Linked DNA regions of Caenorhabditis elegans. The protein of the gene in region 2 interacts with the protein of the main gene of each other region in a pairwise test. Each region holds a gene or a part of one and is shown on either strand. Other genes may lie near its edges.

What was found. Proteins that work in one complex are often made in the same cells at the same time.
Region 1: the proteins of rme-6 (region 2) and F31D5.2 interact in a two-hybrid assay, tested with the Caenorhabditis elegans proteins (one large-scale study listed by BioGRID).

Annotation. Positions count from the first base shown.
Region 1 is NC_003280.10:4,212,436-4,219,224, reverse strand, and holds F31D5.2 (UNC93-like protein MFSD11), read right to left. Parts: upstream 3,608-6,789; coding exon 3,447-3,607; intron 2,885-3,446; coding exon 2,697-2,884; intron 2,511-2,696; coding exon 2,414-2,510; intron 2,369-2,413; coding exon 2,293-2,368; intron 2,247-2,292; coding exon 2,123-2,246; intron 2,071-2,122; coding exon 1,981-2,070; intron 1,908-1,980; coding exon 1,637-1,907; intron 1,588-1,636; coding exon 1,452-1,587; intron 1,401-1,451; coding exon 1,250-1,400; intron 1,165-1,249; coding exon 1,046-1,164; 3' UTR 984-1,045; downstream 1-983. Other genes in the region: F31D5.7 (F-box domain-containing protein), read right to left, coding at 5,890-6,040, 6,348-6,520, 6,567-6,763.
Region 2 is NC_003284.9:1,093,978-1,103,762, reverse strand, and holds rme-6 (Receptor-mediated endocytosis protein 6), read right to left. Parts: upstream 6,612-9,785; 5' UTR 6,608-6,611; coding exon 6,506-6,607; intron 6,453-6,505; exon of another isoform or gene 6,451-6,452; coding exon 6,364-6,450; intron 6,320-6,363; coding exon 6,222-6,319; intron 5,865-6,221; coding exon 5,762-5,864; intron 5,719-5,761; coding exon 5,416-5,718; intron 5,121-5,415; coding exon 5,012-5,120; intron 4,960-5,011; coding exon 4,643-4,959; intron 4,595-4,642; coding exon 4,439-4,594; intron 4,110-4,438; coding exon 3,941-4,109; intron 3,893-3,940; coding exon 3,458-3,892; intron 3,146-3,457; coding exon 2,854-3,145; intron 2,808-2,853; coding exon 2,580-2,807; intron 2,292-2,579; coding exon 2,157-2,291; intron 2,106-2,156; coding exon 1,880-2,105; intron 1,833-1,879; coding exon 1,717-1,832; intron 1,263-1,716; coding exon 1,190-1,262; intron 1,115-1,189; coding exon 917-1,114; intron 716-916; coding exon 581-715; 3' UTR 439-580; downstream 1-438. Other genes in the region: pigx-1 (Phosphatidylinositol-glycan biosynthesis class X protein), read left to right, coding at 6,750-6,926, 7,451-7,578, 7,628-7,694, 7,748-7,838, 7,886-7,981, 8,028-8,200. UniProt on the Caenorhabditis elegans protein: Acts both as a GTPase-activating protein (GAP) and a guanine nucleotide exchange factor (GEF), and participates in endocytosis. Acts by regulating the activation of rab-5 by exchanging bound GDP for free GTP at clathrin coated pits.

The DNA.
Region 1 (6,789 bases), on a different chromosome or scaffold from region 2:
CAATTAGGAACGTTTAAGACAAAAAATTATGGAAAAAAATCTGACAATGAATGAAAGAAAAATTCCAGAAAAAAGTTACAAAACTGTTTGAACTGTAAATTCCAAACAGTTTCCCACAACTGACAATATTTGCATATCATAGAACCCCAAAAGGTTCAAATGTTTACATTTTGGAAGAAAATTGAAAAATTGTGAAAAAAGGCCAGGAGACTCTATTTTCAGGCTAGACAGGCACACCATGCCTACCTGCCTACGCCTGCTTTCCTGCCTACATATCATGCCTGTTTGCCAACGACGTGCCTTTCGTTGCTGGCTGCAGCCTACTTTTTTTTGTGCTGGCGTAGGTCGCTTGTGAAGCAGAAATGTTACTCAAGTCTACACACTCCAATAATTGTGGAATTTTTTTACTTGAAAAAAAAGAAGAAAAGAGGAAAAAATACACTAAAGGTAATACCAAAGAAGTTTCAAAAGAATGTGTTCTTCTAGTTAAACATTGCATTTTTTTTTGTCCGCCGAGAATTGACACGCAATATATAGTGCTGGAATATGGGTGGGGTCTGATGTAAAGTTTTGAACATTATTTATTACTTTTAATAAAGGTATCTGGAAAATACTGGTGATAAAAATAGTGTTGAAATATGGAAACAGATGGGAAAAGTCTATGAACGGATCAAATAATTAGTGTTGTTATTAATTGAAGAGTCAGAAAAAATTCAATAAATATTGTTTAAAAAAATTGTTTCGCTTTTTGTAGTATCACAGGGCGGAAATATGTACGGTTAAAGTAACTATTTTGGCGTCGTGACTCTCAATCACAGAACATAACTGTAAAAAAACGTATAAAAAATAGGGATTAACATTCCGGACGCTACGTGGAAAATTTCATATTTGTGAAACAAGCAACATTTTTTTCCAAAATTGGTCAAATATTGCAGACACCGTACAGGTTGTAGTGTCAGAATATAGGTGGAGTCTGATAAAGTTTCGAGTATTATTTATTAATATCAATTATGTCAAAGTATTATTCAGAAAATGCAAAAAAAAATCAATTTAAATCAGTAATTTTTCTTTCCGTTTTCTCCGAAGACTCTATCGTTGATCCGCTCTCACTGATTTGAATTTTTATTGGCTCAGATTCGATGGCAGGGTGGATTTTTGTGTTTTCTGAAATATTAAGGTTGTAGGCAGGCTGTAGGTAGGTAGGCAGATAGGTAGGCAAGCCGCTAGGTTGTCAAAAAATAAAACAAACCTTGAAAGAAATGCCGTGTCTTGTGGAAATATAGCTTTTGAGCCATGACTGCTGCGATGGCTGATAGAATGGCAAAAGCTCCATAAAGTAGAAGATGACCGGCCAAGGTAAAGTATTTTGATACGAAGAAAGCTATTGTGGAGGATATGGCCTGAAATTTAGTATATATGAGCCTAGACAGACCCTTCAAGTTGAAACTTACACTGTAGAACTTGAATAGAGCAAATGCGTGAGACGATTCTTCAGAGTACCCGTCACAGAGGAACGAGTAGACTTGAGTCTGAATAATTGCATCGCCGAAACCAAGAAGCCCAGAGCAGAATATTGCAATGTAGGCACTGAAAAATCCATAATTGTTCAACTTAAAAATTCCCAAAAAATACAAACTTTGGCTCAAAAATCCCAACATTCTGTGTAGGACGTAGTGGTGCATCATATGGGAAGAACAGATAAATCAATACAAAACATATCAAATGAAGTACACAAGCAATCACTACAATCATATCTTTTCCGAGTATTCTGACACGTTTTCCGAGTACTGAAAATATTCCACCAGCTACAATTTGCCCAATCCCGGTTGCAATTCCACTAATTGCTAGAAGTTTTGTGGTGTTTTCTCCGAGTTTGGAGGTGAATTTGATGCAGGTCGGGTAGATTGCTGTAAGGTTTGAGATGAAGTAGGTCGGGTAGATTGCTGTAAGGTTTGAGATGAAGCCTATGTGCCTGCCTACCAATCCAAAACGACCTGGAGAACCCGGTGTACAAGAAAATAAACGCTAGCAGGAGCATCGGAGTTTGACGGATTAACCGGAATGTTACTTCTGCAAATCACTAACGTAAAAGTAACGTAAAACTCAAAAAGTTTGGACCAACTCAATGTTCCGGCTAATGTAACTGCTTCCCTCTTCTCTGGTACATACGCCGGCGCTGGAAGGAATGCAGTATTGACTGCAGCAACTACCGAGATGGAACAGAACACGTAGACAAAGATTTTGAACTTAAAATTTGAATATTCAGTATAGATTTTTAACTGAAAAATTTACATCTCCACTTAGCACCAGCTCGTGCATAGTTTGATCCTGGAACATGAAGTAAAGGAAGACCCCGCCGCCTAGGAGGCTGAAATTATATAATTTGTTAGATGTTAGGCTAAGTAAAACATACCTGAATTTGAAAATGAGCCACATTAGAGCAGTGTTGCGTTCGATAGTCTCACTTGTGCAATTTTCCGTGAGGTACTTTCCTTGACCAACCCAAAGGACTGAAATTTCTTTGTCAGCCTATATCTCAATTCTCCTTTTTTATATCAAAAAGTTCTCAACTGAGAAAATATTCAAAATTTCTTTTTCTATAGTTCCATAGTTGAAAATGTTTTGATATCTCCAAAATGAACCGAGATATTTACTACCAAAGTAAAGTACTTCAGCCAAAACTTCAAAAAACTCACAAGCTGCTCCAATTCCCAAAAGAGCCGATGTGGTGTACAGGTATGCACTGTTCAATTCAAGAAATCCCAACTGAAATGCAATGTACGTGAAGAATCCAACAACCATCGACCATTTCGCAGTTATCAAGTCAACCACTGGAGCAATCAGTAGGCAGGCAATGGTGAAGAAGAAGTAGAGAATCGCGAAACTGAAAATAAGCAATTTGAAATCATGTTGACCCTATTCATAGAGCTTGTTGATATTTCTACAAATTGTGACCCGTTATGATCTCTGGTGTTAGTATTGTTTTGATAATCAGATTAAAACCGTAGACTTCCCAATTACTATAAAAACGAGATGACCGATAGATTATGCAAATGTTCAAATTTCTAGAGTTGAAAATATGTTTGCATTGAACTTTTTGGTATTAAAATATTTTAAGTAGGCAGGCGAGTAGGTAGGCAGGCAAGTGATAGGCAAACCTGCCAAAATGCCTGCCTACGTACACACGAACCTATTATGTTTGAACTTTGAACTAAAATTGAAAAGAAAAACCAAAAGAACAATTTTTCTGCAACTGCTTTTTTACCAAAAAAAAAGTGAGTGAGTTTTGGAGATTATCCCCTGAGATTTTCGCAGTTTCACAAAAATTGTTTATGAACATTGCTTCTTTGATTTTGCAACGTTTGAAGCAAACATACAGTACAAAACTCGTACGCTGACTCCCGCTGACGCCCGCTGACGCCTGCTGACGCCTGCTCACAACTTACCTATGATATCCGGCATGAGGATCAATATTTCCTCCTCTTCGGTGCTCTTCTTCTATTAACGGCTCCTGTATAAACTCTTGACTCATATATGCAAAAAACAAAAGCATAAAAGAAACTGATAGTCGTATCACATTTTTTGTTCCCGTATCCAGAAGCACCATCTGGAAATTTCAAGTTTTTTTTGCTATTAATTTTCGGAAATATTTAACATTTATCAAAATGATAAATAAAACATTTCCAAACTCAAAAACAATTGTGAAAGGCGATCACAAAAATGATGGGAAAAGAGAGAAAATTGAACAACGAGGAACAAAACGAATAATGTGGGTGGCAAAGGAGAAACGGAAAATTGAAAAAAAAAAGGCGGGGTTTGTGATTTTTTTGGGATTATTAAGGATTTTCTAAAGGAAAAAATGAACATGAACTCGTAAATTATAATTGGCATTTGGGTTAGGGTTTGGAACTTTGACTTCTGTAATTTTCAGATTAAAAACTACATATTTGAATCGGTAAAAGTCTAAACTTTTTTTAAGAATTTGAGACCAAATTTAAGAAAAAAAAATTCTCGAAGAACGTTACACTTAAATACAGCGTGCCCCGACCTGCATCAAATCCCTACGTGCCTACCTGAGTTCTAAATTTTTCGGTTAATTTTTAACTTTAGACTGAAAAAATCATAAAATTTGCATCGACGTTTATTTTAAAAAAATGAGAAACAAATAGAAAAATAGGATTGTTGAAAATATTTTTTAAAGGTTGTTATAATGAAACATATATTAAAAGAAATCAATTTCTGACCCAAATATTCAACAAAAAAAAACAATCTTTAAAATGATGATATGATAAGGTGACAGTGAAAGTGATACACAATGTACAAACATATATGTACACACAGAAAAAGAAACGGGATAACAATAATAATAGAAAGTGAACATTATATGAATTTCGAATAACTATCCCCAATTTCATTCAATATTTTCCGCCTGAAACGAGACACAGAAGACCAGGGGGGCGGCCAAATGCCAAAACAATGATCATAAAACCATCAGAACGGACGGTTTAATGTGCGAAATAATATTGAGAATGAGACTTCCGATGGTCTTCTTTCTTTTTGTTCTTGCAATTCATTTTATTTTTGAAGAAATTTTGATCAAAGTTTGATATAATTTTCGGTCGAAAATCACATAACTGTGATATAAAAATTGTTTTCCATAAAATTATCTAGAAACACATTTTTTTGGAATTAAAATTCTAGTCGGAAAAATTTCAATTTGTTTGAAATATTTCAATAATCGGAAATTCTTATTTATTGTCTAGAGGTTTTTACAGCTTACAACTTGGTAAAAAAGTACCTGCCTGCCTACAACGCAGACCTCGCCTGACTAGAGTATACCTAGACTACAACTCAAAATCAATAATACCTAAAAATTTTGAAACTCTATTCAAACGGTTTTAACCAATTCTATCTATATAGTTTTTCTGCTTTTACGTCAAATTTTTGATGTATTTCATTTGTTCCAAAAAAAAATGCCCGCGGTTCTCAAAACTAATTAATTTTACAAGTTTTCCATTCAAAATTGATCAGGAAATGGAAAACTACTTGTCGATTTCGGTCTCACTGCTGCTGAACAAATACTAATGAATTGATTCAAAGGGAGCTAGAACAATATTTTCATTAAAATTTTAAACATTCCACTTTCACAAAAACTCCTGTTCTATGTAACAATATGTTTACCCGGAAGTTGTTGGCTACCTTCAAAAACTTCAAAAATGAGCATAAGCCGGGACTTTATTGTCTGTAAACGTTTTTAGGAATAATATTTTTGCGGTTTTTGATCATCAGGATCCTGAACTCTGTAAACCTTTCCTATAGTGCTAAAATGGTCAAAAATCATAGTAAAATTTTCCAAAAAAAATTTGAAATTTTTTTAAAATTTTGTTTCAAAAATGACCTGTCAATAAAAAATTTTTAAAACTTTAAACAAAAAAATTTTGTTACGACAGGTGGATGTTTAGCACCATAGGAATGGTTTTTAATCATTTCCTCACCGGCCGTACTGCACTCGTTTGCACTTATAATATCCAAAAGTATCTGAACACACATCTATAAAACCCCATACAAACTGCTGATATTTGTCATAGAAAACCGGTACCTGAACATAAAAGGAAATAGTATACGGGAATTTTAAAGTTCAACTCTTTTATAAACACAATAAAAAATGCCTCCTCTTGTGTTCCTGCAATACTTCAAAGGTGTAGACTCAACTCAAAGAAAGTTTGGAATTTCTTAAATTTCTGAATTCCAGTCACAAGAAACGAGAACTTCTAACCGTTTATCAACTTTTATTAAACTGAAAATTATCAACAAAAAAGAAGAAATGGGTGAAATTGGAAGCTCAGAGATAACGAATGGCAAAAAAATTAAATCAAATTGTTAAAAATGTTAAACTGCTAAATCTGCCGGAACAATCTTAAGAGTGCCGTATCCAAAGAGAGTTCCAGCAAGATTACGAGGATACCACTTGGCTGTTAGAACAACGTGTTTTTCGGGATTTTCCATCTGGATCCGTACGACTGTGTTGGTATGTTCGACTCTGTAAACTTAATTTTGTCAAGAAATTTTGTAAGGGCTTCTCAAAACTGCCACATCAGTTTTGACTATTTAAACATGAAAATACAACTGTGATTCCACGAATCAAACACAACCAGCACTGTAGGATTACTGTAGAGCTAGAAGAAAAAGTTGATGGCAGAACATGTAGTATTGGGGTACTGTCGAGCTACTGTGGCGGGACTGTAGGAGTAGCTTCAATGCCTCTTCAAAAGCTCAATGTTTCCAGAACTACAGTAATTCTACAGTAATCCGACAGTTGCCACAGCAAAAGAAAAAACACTACGCACATTACAAAATCCTGTAATTCCGCGACAAAACTATCTAGTGTTTCGTATCCTTCAGTTTTGAACGTCATTGTAGAATCAACTTCGGCATCCGTGTTGATCCATCTTCGACACACCGCTTGTCCCAAATCCGGAAAAAGTCTCAAACTGAGTGACCATTTTCTCACCTTTTTGAGCTGAAAAAAATTGGAAAACATGGTCCTTTACAAAATAGAATCTTACTGAAGGATATTGTAAGAACAGAGCTACCGGGAAAGTAGTACCACCGTCAGAAACAATTCGAATGTCTTCAAAGCAATCATCGGCGCATTTTTCAAAAAATGATACATTTTCTGAAGTTATAAAACCTCGGAATCTGGTTATGTGATATTTTGTCGATGGTCCAGCAATTAAACTGGCAATCGCATTCTTGTTTTGGTCTGGAAACTTGAATAAGGTACTTGTG
Region 2 (9,785 bases):
AATTTAGAGCATAAATTTAAAGTTTGATCTTTTAAAGTGGGATAAGCTCCCGGGCTTGAAGGTGAAATATCGCCAGCCGGGAAAAATTTCCAAACCCTTCACATGCTGCATAAAAAATTTTTCAACAGAAAAAAATTGTTTTAAGTGGAGCAGGGTGTAAAGCAAGCACAAAGTCAGATTTTTAAGCACCAAGCTAAGCTTGACAACAAATATTTTCTACAGTGATGCTCAAAAATTTTCAAAAAGGCTTCATTTCTGGAGAACTTAGCGATTTGCCACAACTGAAAATTTTCCAAAAATCTACGAATTGTTGAAATGTTATTATGATACTCGGGTAAGTTAGACAATTACACGTGTGCTAGAGCTATGAAAAAAAGTTTTAACGCTTTTTACGCTAATACTGAAATTGTGATATTATTTTTTAAAATTAGTTTCAAAAGAACATCTACAAACATTCATTCTTCGCAATTAGCTGTAATAAATAAGTATACACATAACAATAAAAACTGAGTTTGCTGCGGAACGAAAGTGTTCCCATAAAATATATTCAAAAAAAAATAATTTGGTTCAAAATATACAATCACAGAATTGTCTTGATATATTCAACAGCCGACTTGAAGTTGACCCAGTAGTAAGCATCACGTCCCGACTCGATGCGGTCACCGGCAAAGGTTTCAACAAATTGCACGTTAGACAGAAGAGCACGTGGATTCGCCTGGAAATGAAAATTGAAAGCTTCAAGCTAATATCGAAATTTAAAAAAAAGAAGTTCAACTACATAAATGTTTTAACTAGATATATGTATAACTGACAGCTTTTTAGTTATTACTATAGTCTGCAGCGGTGAAGCCTAAATTTTAAATTAAATTTAAAATATTTTCCAAAACAAAAACGAAATTTCAACTGCTTCTCTCACCTTAATAATCACAAAAACTAGAACCGGTGTGAGGTCATCTGCGGATGCGACCGCGTTTTTCGAAGACAACGCCACCAGGTTGTTGATGACGTCACAGCATCGGACCACACAGTTGAGCTTGTCCTGAGCAGTCACATAAATATCCAGCATTGAGAGTTCCGCCTGAGCAGACGGCCAGGGAGCTTCACCGTGGAGGTGCTGCAATTTTTATTGTGTACAATATGTTAGTCAATTTTTTTCAATTCAATAAAAAACAAATAATAAAAAATAAACTTCTGGAATTTTCAAAAAGTCGTTGACCGGCGTGACTACGTCAGAAACTTTGGCGATGGTTCCACGGAGCAACCTGAGAAAATAACATGAATTATTGTTCAAGTTTTGGTTTTCGATTAAAAAAAGGATTAAAGGACGATCCGTTCTTCAAGTGCTATGCACTGCGGATCTGGGATTCAGGTACACTGCCTGGTGGTGATCCCTCTGAGCTGTAATTTAAGCCACGTCCTAGCCGGGGGCTGTGGCCGTTAATCCAGTCGTGGATTGCTCCACTTCCCAATAGAGGCTGGGTGAACCTAGGGGGTGAGGCCAAAATTGAACTCGTGACCTCCAGACTGCTAGCGGCCACCACTACCGACTGAGCTATCTGCCCCCCTCCCTTAATATTAAATAGCAATTTTAAGCTTAAAAGCCACAATTTTTGCACAAAATTTCTGGAGCATGGCTTCAAGAGTAAGCCAAATTTTTCATCACAGTTTCTAGCTATTACACTTGTTGAAAGCTCCCAAGTCTCAAAAAATCCTCACTTGTCTCTGTGATGATCCGCATCTCTATTCGGGTAGAATGCGTTATCATAAACCGCAAAAATCACATAACGCTCGATGGTTGTCATGGCTCGCGACATCATTGTATCCGTGGCAAACTGAAACCATTTATAAATTACTAGCTTCTTTATACTAGCTTCCTTACATTCCAATCCACGTTTTGCATCAAGCGATCCCTCAAAAATGTGAGTAGATTCTTCAAAAACTCGGCACGTTCATCCTGAGCTCGAAGGTATTTGAATTCGTCGTAAAACTTGAGCACGGCCGTCACTTCCTGAGTTTTGCCAACTGTGTGCTTGTTGTTGAAGCCCGTTTCCAGAAAAGTGCGCATGAGGAAATCAACGAGGATTTGCTCGGTGAGCCGGCGGTTTCTAAAATAATGAAAATCGATGAAAATTTACAGATAAAGGAAGGATGCTTACAACAAAACTCTTTGCTCCAACGAAGAGATATCATTCGATTTTCTCATTAGTGAAGCACGTTCCTCACGCATTCCATTTACGATTTTGTCCTGCTCAGCTTCATTCAATTTCAAATGGTCCATGAGGATTTCAACGCTGAAATTTTTAAAGGTCTCATCTACAAATCAATACTGAGGATATGGAATTTGGCTAGTATGAAAAGAGTCTAAGCTTAAGCCTTGACCTAAATCTAAGCCTATGCCAAAGCTTTCGCCTAAGGCTCAGTCTTAGCCGAAGCCTGAGCCTAATCCTAAGCCTAAGCCTAAGCTTAAGCCTGTATGAACCTTCGAAAAATGTCATCCATTATAAAAATGAAGATTGTTTCTATCGCGTATTTCACTGCTTGAAATAATGTTTTTCGAATAGTTTCATTCCCGCTCTTACCCAGCGTGCTCAAAGAGTTCGATGCATCGCTTGACTTCTCTCAACTGAGCCGCAAGCCCGTACTCTCTCCTGTGCTCAGTTTCCACGAGGACTCCATCCAAAAACCTCCCAAGCAGCACTTTCTTGTCCCACTCATTTTGCTTTGTCTCGTTGCGATACCCGATCCTTGGCAAGTAGGAAATGTTCCCGAGAACTGTGATCATTTTTCGAAGGGTGTCTTGAAAAGCCCTGAAACACCATAATCTGGATAATATAGATGAATTAAAAAACTTACCGACAACCAACCAGATTTTCAGACGAATAATACGGCTCCAGTGGCTCTTTTCTCGGAGTCGATGAGGCAGAGGCAGTGCCATCAATTAGATTCCCGAGCGCTGGTTTTTGCTCTTTAATCGATGATATCGACGCGTACTTAGCCAGAATATCGTCACGTGGACCTGTAGCAACGTCTGGTAGGTTTTGCTCACTGCTGCTAGTGGGGATGCCTGACGGAGGTGGTTTTACAAATGATCCCGAACGACGGAGGTGCTCACGGATGTCGGATAGGGTGTTGGATTGTGTGATTCCTAAAACTCTAGCTAATATGTATGTTTGAGAATTCGCGCTGGATGGAACTGAAAGCTAATTGAAAGTGGGAGGACTAAAGTTCATTTTAAAATGTTAAGAATCAGTTTTTCAACCACGTATTTCAGAGGTGCGTGGAATTTCAGCAATCACAGATTGCCGGAAAATGGTAATTTCTTCTAAATGCCGAAATTCTCCAACAGTTCAATTTCTGCGTCCTTTCACTACTCGAACTTTAACTACGCAGGTAATCCGCTCTGCCTGGTACTTCCCAAAAAAATTAGCTCAACTTAGTAAAATAGTAATCTTCTTACCCTTCTTCATCCTATCGCTCAAACTTTTCAGTTTAGCAAGTTTTCCTCGTTGCTCGCCACCAACTCCTTGATCACCAATCTGAAGTTCTTCTGTAGATGTGAGAGGCTCGGGGGACACTGATGTTGAGTCACTGAGATGTTCGCTGTTAGTTTCAGCTGAACCAGACGAAAAGTCAATAAGATTGTTTTCCACTGGAGTCTCCTTCGGTGCTGGAGTTGGCTCCAGAAGCTTCTCCAAATCAGCCAACTGTCTCCTTTCCTCGGCCTTCTTTTTTAGACGATCAGCTTCCGCAACGTCTTTGTAGTTTTTGGGGCTATACTCTAAGTAGAACAAATCAAAGTTCTCTTTTCCAAAAGCTAGTGCTTCTCCCTGTTTTGCTCCGAGCTCATTGATATCGTTGAAAGAGTCACCGGTTCGTTTGAATGAGTGTTGAACTGAAAAAAAGTGTCAGTTATGAAAAAAGTTCCCATTTGGGTGTATACCTTTTCGATGAATATTACGAAGTGTTGATATTTTTGGTGAAGCCTCTAGGTTGTCAAAGTGTGACTTTTGAGTGGTGGAGCTGATTGTGGCGGGAAGCTTGTCGCATACTGATAAAATTCTTGAGAGCTTCGCGTCAGAAGTTGATGGTGCATTACGAATAATTTTAATCTGGAATTGAAATTTAGAAATTTCGCTTTTTTTCTATATTCGAAGACCTCCAGGCTTATCCTACCACCTGGTGAAATTTTGGAGGGTATACAACACTTTAGCTGACTAAGATAGCCATACAGATTTTGGATTTGGGTCTATAGCCTGATATCTTTTGACTTAAGTCTAGTAGCTTTTTTGTCTGAAACCAACATCATCACTGATTTTCCTATCACTGTTTTTTAGCCTATTTCTAAAACTGACGTCCCTCGAGCCTAACACTTTTGGGTCTTGACAATAAGAGCGTTTGTCTAGACTTTCATAAAATTTTGATATTAGGGATGACTCACCAAAACGTTAACATCCGCCACAGTTCCAACAAAACTCGATTTCGTAGCCATATCCGATTCAGCAGTCCCGTTCGCGATAAGCGACGTGATCTCAACGTCGGGAGCAAGTTTCTCCACAAGTAAAGCATCCATCATTTCTGATATGAGATGTGTGTTCTGAAAAGCTTCTAGTTGAGAGCAGTATCAATTCCAAAGACAACTCACCCGACACTGGCTCAAAAACTCTTTGTACTCTTCCGGCGGCGATTCAAACTCCCTCAATGAAATCATTTGGATAATCATCGCGATTTGAACCAAGTTATGGTTTACAATTGTCCCAACTCTGACATCATTATCCACAACTCCAAACTTTTGCGGACTGATGATTGCCGGGCAAATGAGGTTTGAAACAATCATATCCTTGCAAGCATGACTCAGCTCAATAGCTGACACATCATCGACCACCTCGTACAGCGAGCAGAATATGTCTCGAATGATCCAATTCAAATTTGGTGGAAGCATTGGCAGAGCTTTCGAGATATCTAAATGCATTGAAAATTTTATATTTGTTCTGTTTGGCGGAAAACAACTCACTTTCCAGAAAAGTGTCAACAAAATCGACTAGCTTGGAAACAACGAGAGCTCTGTATTCGGGTAGGCGATCCTCATTCTGCTTGTTATCACGTAAGAACCGAGCCGTGGACTGAAAAATATAGACGTATGAAAAGCTCTCTTGAAAGTGAGTTTTTTTCCAGCAGCTAAACCAAAACCAGGTTTTTAAAATTGAAATTGTTTAAACAAATTGTCAAGCCTTTTCAAGCCTACAGAGCTTGAAATGAAACTTTAAGTATTTTGTGGATGACATATACTACACTAACAATTGTTTTAACAGCTAGTAACACTATTTTGGTCAGTGCAATTTTTGAACCGAATTCTGTGGTTACTGTATAAGCTTTTCCACATCCTAGTTTTGGTCAGTGCAGAATCATAAAATTTACCTGTTTTGCATCGATATCCAACCAAAAGCTGCCCAACTGAATAACATCCAAAACCCCTTTCCTCAAAGCTTTTGTTAGATATACCATTGTCGGATGTATTAGTTCTACAAAATGCTTGTAGAATCTCGTTGATATGGAAGTTTCCTTCCGCAGAATTGTCCTCATCTCACTGCCAGATCTGTATAGTTGAAGCTTCAAAAGATTACACACAACTTGTGCAATCTTGAGCTCATCCTCTGGGTACAGAGCGCACGAGTAGACGAGGTGGAAGAGTACTTGAATTGTGGAGTCGTTTGATGTAATCTGGAAATTATAGGTAATGTGTTGAAACAATGGAAAAACTCACATCATTTCTGTCAATGCTATTCAATAGTTCGGCGACCGACTGGGGCTCATTGTACAATATTGTCAGCAATTGGTCAAGAGTGGAAAAGTGATGCCCGACGTGCCTGAATTTTTTAATTTGCATTTTTCCTGTATTGTTATGTTGGCTCGTATGGCATTTTCGGAATAGTGGTCTTTTTAAATTTTCCAGTCATATTTTATGTGAGTTTACGGGCAATATGTTAAAGTGATCATTCTGGTTTTCATGGTTTTAGGCATGAAAATTATTTTGCTCATTTAAGTTTCAGTTATCGAAAATTGTATTAATTAAAAAATTTAGGTTCGTAAATCGACATATCCAATATTTTATGACATGGTGCAACTCGACCGATAATTTCTGTCATTCACTACACTTCATATAAATTCAATTTATTGGCAAAACTCGGAAAATGTCGGTTGCAGCTCAGCTTTTCTTTACTCACTTGTATGCTGGGAGAGCTTCAGTTTCACTAATCTCTTTGAGAAGCCTGCATGCAATTGTTGGCTCGAGTGCCTGGTTTTTGAGCTGACGTCCAACGTTCTGAACAATATTTAGTGGGAATCCTAATCATCAAGAACACTTACATTCCAGTAGGAGCTTCTCCATGCCTCGGTGAGCAACTTAATTTCGTTATCCGATACTTCTTGTTGGTGTCTGTTCAGAGAGTGGAGCTGAAAAATTGAAATTTGTATTTGAAATCACTTTTAAAAACTTCAAAATTCCTACCTCAGCGTCCGTAAGCAATTTTTGATTGCGAATTTTGGTGGCCAACTCATAAAACTCCCGATACTCGTCCTGAGACCGAATCCGCTCGATGATATCGGCCATTTACCTGAAAAAAAAAAAGAAAAATTAAGCAAGAAAATTTATTTAAAATTCAGTTTTCAAAAAAAATCGGTGTAACACAAAAGAAAAGACAAAGAAAAAGAGAGGATGAGTGCGCGGGTCTGCACACCGGTTCACGGTGGCCATGCACACAATGCACCACACTTTACGACACCTCCTCCTAAAGGCAAACGGAGGAGGGACCTTGATTATCGGGAAAATGGTGGCCAAAGATGGTTTATTCACACTGCTATTTGCAATACTAATTGTAAATGTTCAAAGTTGCATTTTGCTAGCAAAAGATAACCATGGAGATATGAAGGTAAATTAGAATAGGAATTGTTACAGAAAAGTCTTAAATAAAACTTAAAATTAACCAAAACCAGGAAAAATGTTCAAAAACATGATTAAATATATCAGAAATATTTTTCAAAGTTGTTGTGAAGTGTTTTAATATACGTTAAATACTTTTAAAAATATTTTTCCACTGGTTTTATTTTTCGTTTACCTTTTTTTAACAATCAGAAGTGTCAAACATTTTATACATTAATGCTCCTTTTTCAAAAAAAAAAAATTTTTAATGCAGTGCTCTATTTTATAGAATTAGACTTTCCAAACTTATTTTTAGTCCTTTTTACTAAATCCTTTGAGAGTACAGCTTAGTTGTCCTCTTTATTGTAATTTTTGACAATAATTTCAACATTAATTTGTTTTAATTTTTCGAAAGGTCCCCGTATAAAATTTACTTGGGCCTATCTACAAAGTAAAGCAATGAAACAGTGCTTCTCGAACTTTCGTGATAATCGAAGTAGAACCACTGCAGTAATAAATCTAGTTAACACTTAGGTGAACGGTTATGGACTTCACAGAGAACTGAAACTACCTGCATTCATTCAAACTCAATCCAGAATTCCTCAATGCCGAATTCTCTACAAAATCGAGATTCCGGAAGGTGTCTATGTTGATGAAAGAGAGTAAGACTATAAACATTTGATTATTTTTAATAGTTTATATAAGTTTCAGGTTACAAAGTGCAAGGTTTGGCTATGATTTTATAGTTTTACCGGTAAAGAAAACCAATTCACAAATGGTAAGCAATGAACATTTTTTAGAAATTTTTTCATTAAAAAATCATACGTTCAGCTCTTTGCCATCAAGAAAAAGCTTTACCTATCAACATTTGAGATGAAGAATCTTCTAAAAATCAAGATACATTTACATCCGCCGAGTAAAGGTTTATTTTTCAATTTTGACTGAAAATTCCCACGGACAAATTTTCAGCTTTCCCAAAGTCTCTAAAATTCCCTGTTCCAACAATTGCTGTAGACTGCAAAGGGGATTTGTTCAAAGGTTGCACAACACTTAAAACTTCTCGTGGTGGGTTTTCTAAAAATTTTTCAGACTTGTAAGTGTTTTTTTTCAGATCTCAGGCTAAAATCAGAATCTCCCAACTGGTTGTCAGTTAAGAGCCCAAGCAGAGCTCCTGTGGAATTGGAAACGTTCCGAGACGAACAACTTTTTGCAGATTTCGGATATGAATCGTGTTTTTTGCTGGTTACTACTTTGCTCACTTCTATGTATTATTTAATAAAATAAAATTTTGGATTATTCAATAAGAAATATTATTTGCAACTGTAATTTCGGTTATGTGTGCACTGACCAATTTTGTGTTGCCACTGACCAGCTTGATGAGCGCAATCACCAATTTTGTGTTTGCAGTGACCAAATCACAAATTTAAAAAATTTTTATAGGGGTTGCAGAGCACAGTTTTTATATGTGCAAGCGTGTTGTCAACCAATTTTTTGGGCACATTTCCAAGACACAATAGATTTGTAAAAAATGTTTGCACCAGCCCAGTCACTACTGAAAAATTTGAATCAAATTTGGGCCACCAAAAATATTAATTTAATTTGATCTGAATCGTCAAAATCTGTAAAACTTGTAGAAGTTGCACAGATTATCAATTATTATGCTCTGAAGCTTACCAAATTTTATAACATCACACTTTTCGCGTCATTTAGAATTATACTGCTTCCCACCATGAGTCACAGGCCAACAACTATGTGAACTTTCCGTAAGTTTTCCGAATGACTCATAAAGTGAGAGCTCCGTGCTTGTTTTGTCTGCTGCTCTATTTGCCAGTGATCCCGTTTTTTGTGAAAAAAGGAGGGGGGGGGGGGGGGGGGGGAAGAGACCGGGTGTGATTTTCAAAAAAAGTGATAGGTTAATGTATGGTAATTCCGTGGTGATCGGGAGTTGGTTGTGATCCGATTACTATAATTTTAATATTTTAAGGGATGACGACTTTGTGGGAACTGATTTTTATTCTGCCTATTTTGCATTTTAGCATTCGTCACTTAATTTTTTTTTTTTGAAATCGAAAACCTTTTTTTATTTTTTGCAACAAAAATAAATATACTTAAAAATTAGAAAAATTTAACCATTACGGATGTACTGTGTATTACGCCCAAATACAGAGTCATTTTATCATCATTATTTTTCTATTGTTCTGTCTTCTTAACATTTTTTTGAGCACAATGACGTAAATGATGTGACATGTAATTCAAATAATTTCCAATCAGTTATTAATACTTTCATTCCTTGTTTGTGTACAATTACAAGTCGAATCACGTTTTGTTTTTTCCCATTCGTCAATTTACTTTCAATAACAACATGGGCTGTATACAATTTGATACATTAATTTTCATAATCCGTAGTTTTTTTTTAACTGTTCAGTTATTTTTCGAACTGTTTTAAATATTCAAATTACACTCACCAAATCTAAATTTGCAATGACCATTTCTAAATTTGCACCGACCAATGTTATATTTGCACTGACCAATTTAAAAATCGCACTGACCAATTCTAAATTTGCACTGATCAATTTTAAATTTGCACTGACCAATTAAAAAATCGCACTGACCAAATCCAAAATTCCACTGACCAATTTTAATGCTGATTAATCACCTTCATGAGTTGCAGTGACCATTAAAAATTGAATTATCCCAATTATGTGTTTTTTTAAATAGTCACCAAAGCTTAAGATTTGATGATGATATCATCGTATGTTTTTTTTAATATCTACCAATAAGATGTTTTCTTTTGAACACTTTCTATAAAGCTTCAAACTTATTAGTTATTTGTGAAGAAAGTGGCAACTAAGTAAACATTTTGTTTGAT